Xenopus tropicalis: one gene and its partner. The protein of the gene in region 1 purifies or fractionates together with the protein of each later gene. This does not show direct contact. Links are inferred from orthologs where the notes say so. Each region holds a gene or a part of one and is shown on either strand. Other genes may lie near its edges.

Region 1 (3,428 bases):
GCTGGCCATGTCCATATGTTATCTGCATTTCTACTACTCATATGTCTATGCCACTATCCCACTACCTTGGGGCAGAAGTCTGTGTCCTGCAGAGCACAGTGCAATGACAAATGGGGCACAGCACTATCATTAGGCTGAATGCTACATAGTTCCATAGCCAGTTACCACACCATGAAACCTTTGTACATATAATCCCTACCCAGCTCCCAGTTAATCTTTACCATCCTAGCTGCTTCTATAAGTGAACCTTAAGCTCCTAGTTAACCTATGCCATCCTGGGTGCTGCAGGGCTAGGGGATATCTGATGGGGAGAGTTTAGTTGTAGGGGTCCCAAAGTTTGTCCTCTAATAGCAGGAAATTCTGCATACAGCATAAAGATATAATTACTGGGAGAAAACATGCTTGCACACATGGGAAAACACAAGGCATAACTTACCAAGCCCAAAGTATGCGGAGAACTGTAGTTCCCACAGGGCTGTCATTAGATCCTGGACAGCTATAATATCGGTATTCTGTATAGGCCGTGGTGCAGGCAGCACAGCGCCCATTGATCATGTAACATGAACTGAATGCCTAGTTAGAAGGTGGTGATATGGCAAGTTGGTACAGAGATGCAGTGACCACGGCACAGCTGCAGTATGGCTGGCTGAATGCTCCCTCCCTGTAAATGTGGGTCCTACTCCTTGCTCTAATGCCCATGGCAGCAGTACTACCTAGCTACAGAGCCATGCCTTACCTATTAAAGCAATTCACCATAGCACTTCCGGACAGGCTGCCGGTGATGCTGGCCCCAGCCAGTGCCATGGTGCTAGCAGTTTCGCTAAGGTTATCCCGGATGGTTCCAATTCTTTCCAAGTGACTCCCACTGGCACTCAAGCTGCCCGTCATGGCACCTACACTTCCTTCTCCGATGCTGGGGTTGTTGCGCGCTTCTGCAACGGACGTGGCATCTAAACAACACAAAGCAAAAATGTATAGTAAACACACACTAACACGCCAACTTGAACTAAAATGTCTTGCTATGAACCAGATTCTGCACACAGGGATAAGAGTTGTGCCACCTGGGATGAACATAAGAGCTGGCCATATTGGCCAATGTGGGGTCAAATCCCTGTGTGAATAACCTGGTAGTAAAAAGCCATGCATTGTTGGGCAAGAAAGGTGTTAAATGCCTAAGTTATTTTACAGACTGTTCTGGGCAAGCCTGGGGTTTCACATCAGGAAATAACGAGAGGAAAATCTGCATTTGGCAGAGACCTTGGAAGCTTGGAGCAATATGTCCTGTACATTCTGTTTCCAGGCAATGGCGTAAACACACAGCGCAGGCCAAGCAGGAAAGAGCATCAGTCTGTACGGGAGCAGGAAAGTGCGCTAGCACCCACGGGTGCTGCTATTTGCCTGGAACTCTATAGCTGCCCATGCACCCTGATTGCCCAAGCACATGGATGGCCACTGAACTGGGTCAAATTGGGCAGAGTCAATCATTTGACCCCCAGGCCCACGATCTGACCATACTATAGGCAGGGATTCTGTTCCCAGTAACCCAAACAGACAGTTCAGACACAGACTTGCATTCTCCCGATACTGTAGATCTCAGCATTTTTGGGGTTAGATATGATTTGTCACTGTGCCCAGAAAAGCTCTTGGCTTGTGCAGATATGAAAGCATTTCCCTTTAGCATGACCAGAAGGTTCTGCTTGGTAATCGCTCCTTATATGGAACATTTCTCTCTCCCCAAGCACATCCCCCGTCTGATCCCGCCACTGAGGGACCACCCCATCACCCACCGACAGATCAAACATACTTATCATAAACAGGAGCTGCCACTTTCTACCTCCGCTTATTAGTCCCAGAAAGGTGCCACTGATGAACTACAACTCCCATCACCCTCTACCAGCAGCTGCTGCTCAAGCAGAAGTAACTAACAGTTGTACATTTGCTCTTGTTGTGGGCAGGACTTGTGCTGCATACACATTCCCACTATGATACACAATTATATTTAAAGGAAACGAAGGGGGGAAAAAAATCAGAAAACAATCATTTAAAAATGTCTTTGTTGAAAACAGTCCCCCCAAATTCTTTCCCTGCATACAATTTGCACAGGGGGAGAAAGGATTTAGTTGAGTTCTGTTCAAAGTAACCTAAAAGTTGTGGGTTCAGTCTGGGTGAACCTAGAGTGCAATTCTATTCAGAAATACACAAATTATTTAGATCATTGCTGCCTTTATAGAGAACACTGTTGGCCTCTCTCACCTGTAGCGGTATTTGTGCCACCGACATTGATATCATTCTCATCATCAAATTCAATCCGGACTCCTTTGCCGGTGCCAGCAGAAACCCCGCAGCCGCCACTTCGGCACAGTGAGATGGGGACCACTCCATAGACATAGGCTAACATAATCGGAACACCGATACCTTGGTGACAGCAGAAGAATGTTATTATAATTGTATCCTGATTTTATTATGGGATGCCCAGCTTTTGCCTTTGCAGCAGCTGTGATCGGCAGTGTGACTGGCCGTGGCCAAGTCCGCATTTGGAACTATGCAAGTGAATGTTTATCATTGCAGAGCCTACACTTACCGACAGTTACTGCTGCCACAACTGGCGACACAATGACAGACAAGGTGACACCACCTGCGATGGCCAGATTCCTCTTGTGCTTTGAAATGTCTTTGCCTTCGTAACGATTGTGAATCTGTGAGAAAACACATTTCATGCCATTAATTAACTCATATTATGGTCAGGCTGGTTATTCATCCCACAATTCCTTGCTAACATGATTAGAATTCCTTAATCCGAGGCCTATTCGTTTATAAAAAAAAAAAAAAAAAAAAATAGAGAGGCTTGTGGGTAACTTACAGAATCACAGTTCCCCATACATAAACACCTATATTCAGTCTCCTAACAAACTGTCACTGCCTGTGTTTGTGCTTCTCAGTTACAGGAAATAATAACATAAAGCAATAAAGTGAAAACATTTCAGTTATAAGCAGTGACCGCTCCCAAAACTCCTTCACTCTCACAGCAATTGAGCCATAAGGGGTGCCACCTCGAGGTGCATTGCCCATCTGTGCCAAGCTATGCACATTGGTGATGACCAACAACTCTGGGCAAAACTTTCTCTCTAGGTATTAGCCTTGCTCAGCACATATATAAAACACAGTTGGTGACCTACCTTTCGTCCCACATATACAGGGATGCCAATTATCATGGCAGGAATGGCAATTCCAGCTATCAGTGCTATGCCCACCGGTGCCCCCACCAGGGTTCCTAGTTGCCAGAGGATCTTTTTCTTTCTGCTCCATGGCTTCTTCCCCCAAAATGTGCATCCAGAAGGACTGAGAAAACAAAGGACATTGTAAGAATCAATAACAAGTCAGAGAAGCAGTTACCACGGAGAGTGGCCCTGGACCCACAATTATCCCCC
Region 2 (4,436 bases), on another chromosome or scaffold:
CTGTTGGGTTTATTGGGGGATTTGTTTGTTGCACATTCACTTTGAGAAAGGCTGCTGTGTCAGCCGAAACGTTAGTCCTTGCTAATAAATATTTTTTGTTTTCATAAGACCTGTGAGTGCGGCATTTATACATACTATACAGATGCTTTGCTATCCTGCACCCAGGCATTATTTATGCTATCCTGCTACCCAGGGGCCCCCACACCCCCTCTGGCACCCCCACCGGCTACTCATCTAAGGCTAGCCCCTCCAGTGCCAGGGTCCGACTGCTACCCAGGGGTCCCCTCACCCCCTCTGGCACCCCCACCGGCTACTCATCTAAGGCTAGCCCCCCCCCCCAGTGCAACTTATACTTACTTTTTCCACGATCAGCAGGGGGAGGGCAGCGAGGGAGCAATAGGGGAGGGCAGCCAGGGATCGGGATAGTTTGGCGGAGCCTGGGGCTTTTCCAAGAAACAGACATAGGGGCACATTTACTAAAATGCGCTTTTTTCTGGCCTTGAAATGCAAAGTAAACACGATAATTTCTGTAGTTCTAAAATGTCTCGACAAAGCTTTTATCGTTTGTGCAAAAATATCGCAATTGCGTTCTGAAAGTTTGTAAACGCCACAAAAACAGTTTTTGAAGCCCCCATAGGACTCAATGGCACTTGACAAACCTGGCAACGTCCCAAAGTGTAACCATAGCGATAATGAATTCCAAAATGTTCATATTCTGTGCACAAAATACGACTTTTTCATGGAAATTTTACCGAAAACCATGAAAAACCATGAAACTGACTTTTTCCCATACATTCCAAAATGTTCTATAAAAATACGAATTTATCTCAAAATTGTTTAGTAAATGGGCCCCATAGTGTCAGTAGCACTGCTCAGTAAGGAAATCTTTTTTTTAAATACTTTATTTTGTATTTATTTTGAAGTAACAGGTGGGTTTGGAGAAGTTCAGCATTAATGTAAATCCGCCCATTAACACTTCTGCTACAGTTTCAAGTCAAAACCCAAGAATAAAAAGGGATAAGCAGATACTGCCTTAGCAATTGCATTTACAAATAACGTTAAAAGCACTGAAACTGTGCAAATAAATGTTGTTAATTAAAATGATATTTTTATTGATTATACAACCAAGAATAAAGATTTGGGCGGAGTCAGAGCTTACAGGCAGCCCGCGGGTCACGTGGTTGAGGGAGCAGCCCATTGGCTCAGCTGCTGGGGCGGTGGGGCCTAAAGCGCCGCTTTTATTGGTTGGAGGAATCACGTGGTACGTTTGTGTCACTAGTTGTCTCTCAAGGTGCGCGGCTCCGCTTTCTCCGCTGTCCGGTCTCGGTAGCTGCAGTCATGGTGCGGGCGGTGTGTGTGCTGGCGGGAAGCGGCGACGTGAAGGGGGTGGTGCACTTCCAGCAACAGGCGAGTATTGTAGCGTGGCTTTAGGCATTGTGCCTTATGCGCTTACCCTTACTGGGCCTGTCCTGTGCCTTCAGCTGCTAGTGTTCCTGCAGCCTGCGCCATCTGTGCAATTCCAACCAGCCTTTCCCCTTAGGCAGTATGAGATGCACAGTGCATGCTGGGAGGCGGTTGGGTTGGCAGTGCATGCTGGGAGGCGGTTGGGTTGGCAGTGCATGCTGGGAGGCGGTTGGGTTGGCAGTGCATGCTGGGAGGCGGTTGGGTTGGCAGTGCATGCTGGGAGGCGGTTGGGTTGGCAGTGCATGCTGGGAGGCGGTTGGGTTGGCAGTGCATGCTGGGAGGCGGTTGGGTTGGCAGTGCATGCTGGGAGGCGGTTGGGTTGGCAGTGCATGCTGGGAGGCGGTTGGGTTGGCAGTGCATGCTGGGAGGCGGTTGGGTTGGCAGTGCATGCTGGGAGGCGGTTGGGTTGGCAGTGCATGCTGGGAGGCGGTTGGGTTGGCAGTGCATGCTGGGAGGCGGTTGGGTTGGCAGTGCATGCTGGGAGGCGGTTGGGTTGGCAGTGCATGCTGGGAGGCGGTTGGGTTGGCAGTGCATGCTGGGAGGCGGTTGGGTTGGCAGTGCATGCTGGGAGGCGGTTGGGTTGGCAGTGCATGCTGGGAGGCGGTTGGGTTGGCAGTGCATGCTGGGAGGCGGTTGGGTTGGCAGTGCATGCTGGGAGGCGGTTGGGTTGGCAGTGCATGCTGGGAGGCGGTTGGGTTGGCAGTGCATGCTGGGAGGCGGTTGGGTTGGCAGTGCATGCTGGGAGGCGGTTGGGTTGGCAGTGCATGCTGGGAGGCGGTTGGGTTGGCAGTGCATGCTGGGAGGCGGTTGGGTTGGCAGTGCATGCTGGGAGGCGGTTGGGTTGGCAGTGCATGCTGGGAGGCGGTTGGGTTGGCAGTGCATGCTGGGAGGCGGAGGGACAGTCCCATAGGAGGGTATTTCTGCATTGCCAGTATAGGTGTGGGGGGGTCTTGTCTCTGTCCTAGACTTTTACTGGTGGGAACAAATCATTTCCACATAAGCTGTGGCCCCTGTGCCACTTCCACGGTCTCTCCTACACACAGCGCTTGTTATAGGGCCCCGGGGTGTGAGCGCCACTCGGTGAGGGATATGTAACTCCCCGCAGCCCACTGACCGCTATATCATGAATGACAGTTGATGGGAGTTGTATAATAACAGAGGGCTGTAAGTGGGATGCACACGTTAGTCTCCCCCCCCCCCCCCTCTCACTCTCTCTCTCCTCTCCCAGGCCTCTTGCCTTTAGCTCTGTACCTAGTGTCCCACCCCCACAGCACAGAATCCAGGGGGGAAAGTCCATGTTGCGCTGTAGGGAAATCCCACAGAATCATTTAGTTTGCTGCTTAGTGCCCTGCAAAAATACCTTCCAGAACAAGTAGGTGCTGGGAGTTGTAGTTTCATACAGCCTGTGGTGCCAGTTGTGCCCATGTCTGCTGTCCTTATACACATGCATTGTTACCAGTGCCCCATGCCCTGCCGGAGCCGTTCCTGCCATGTAGTAGATGAGGAATGGGTGCCCTGCATAACTCCAGGGAATTGAAACCAGTGCCCCAGGGCTTTGCCCAGTGCTGCTATTGGTTACAATGAACACAAAGAGCATGCAGGGAGTTATAGTTTAGTTATACAGGAGAGTCACAGGTTGATGTTGTGACCCGCTGTTCTGGTTGGTGTGTCACGTGCCGCCCTTTCACCCCAGACTGTGTGTTTGCAGTGAGGCCCAGGCTGCATGACGTGCCAGCGGGCCGGCTATCACTGGGCTAAGCTGCGGCTCTCAGCGAGGGGAAGTCGGGTCAGAGCGGCCATCTGTTGTGTGGGTGTGAGGGCCGGGGGCTCGCTGCTTTGTGGCCATGTGGCATGGGGATTATACATGTTGGCAAAGCCACTCTTGGTTATCTCCTTGTAATTAGCCTGCTGGGCAGGCAGGTTGAGGCTGTGCCAGTTAGTGCAATTGTGCCAGGGGGGCCCTGATGCAGCACAAGCCCTCACTGTTTATGCCCAGGGCACACACTCACCATTAGCCACATTGTGCAGTCATTCACTGTCTGTAGAGCAGTGTTGGGCCCAGGGACTCCGCTAGATGCGGTTGAACTACAACTCCCACTATCTGACTGCATCTGGGCTCTTTGCAATAGAAGCAGCCAGTGTGGCAGAATGCCAGGCAGATAGGGCACAATGCCAGGCAGTTAGGGCACTGCTGTGTAAGTGTGACTCAGCACTTTGGGACTGGAACGTCGAGCTTTGTTTTGCAATAACAGCCATTTGCTCCGGCGTTTCATTGGCTGCAGCAGTGCCAGCGGTGTCTGAGACGGGCAGTGTTGGACTGCAGCTCCCACAATCCCACAGATAAGTCAGCTTAAAAATGAACCCGAGGTCAGGAATCTTCTCTGTGGCTCTGATTGGTTTCCCATTCTGTAGGCGGGCCATATGCCATTAACCCCTCAGGTGCTGGCACTTTTTGATCCATCTGCTGCATGAGTGGCCAGTAACATGGGCTGTGTTTAAAAAGACAAGTTGAATCTGTGGCACTGGCACGATATGCGGATTTGCCCACATGTGCAGCGTTATTACATTCAGTCGTCTAGAGCTTTAATAGTCATGTGACTCAGGGTAGGGGTTCAGTTAGAGCCTGCGCCTCGCTGAATCCAAATGCTGTAGCCATATATATCCCATAGCTCCGCTATCCTACCCGCACATTCCAGCTTTAATATAACATAGATTTCTATACACTGTACTGTTATGGTCGGGGCAGGAATTCCTTATAATAAAATCCTCTCTATGCAGGACGAAGGCCCAGTGACAGTTGAAGGGAAGATTTACGGCCTGACTGACGGAAAGCACGGCTTCCATATCCATGAGTTTGGCGACAACACCAACGGTAAGCGTGGCTGTAACAGGGACTGTGGAGTGTAAGCTCCTTTGGCTAAGGGACTGATGGGAATGATGCATAATCTCTGGGAAGCTCTGTGTCAGTGCTC

The links.
Region 2: the proteins of rnf19a (region 1) and sod1 purify together in Homo sapiens (affinity purification with western blotting, with the first as the bait; 3 studies listed by BioGRID). This does not show direct contact. The link is inferred for Xenopus tropicalis from reciprocal best matches to the Homo sapiens genes RNF19A and SOD1.

What each region holds. Positions count from the first base shown.
Region 1 is NC_030682.2:128,194,372-128,197,799, forward strand, and holds part of rnf19a (E3 ubiquitin-protein ligase RNF19A), read right to left. Parts: intron 3,340-3,428; coding exon 3,177-3,339; intron 2,697-3,176; coding exon 2,582-2,696; intron 2,416-2,581; coding exon 2,254-2,415; intron 951-2,253; coding exon 737-950; intron 1-736. UniProt on the Homo sapiens protein: E3 ubiquitin-protein ligase which accepts ubiquitin from E2 ubiquitin-conjugating enzymes UBE2L3 and UBE2L6 in the form of a thioester and then directly transfers the ubiquitin to targeted substrates, such as SNCAIP or CASR.
Region 2 is NC_030678.2:15,648,226-15,652,661, reverse strand, and holds the start of sod1 (superoxide dismutase [Cu-Zn]), read left to right. Parts: upstream 1-1,322; 5' UTR 1,323-1,338; coding exon 1,339-1,407; intron 1,408-4,242; coding exon 4,243-4,336; intron 4,337-4,436. UniProt on the Homo sapiens protein: Destroys radicals which are normally produced within the cells and which are toxic to biological systems.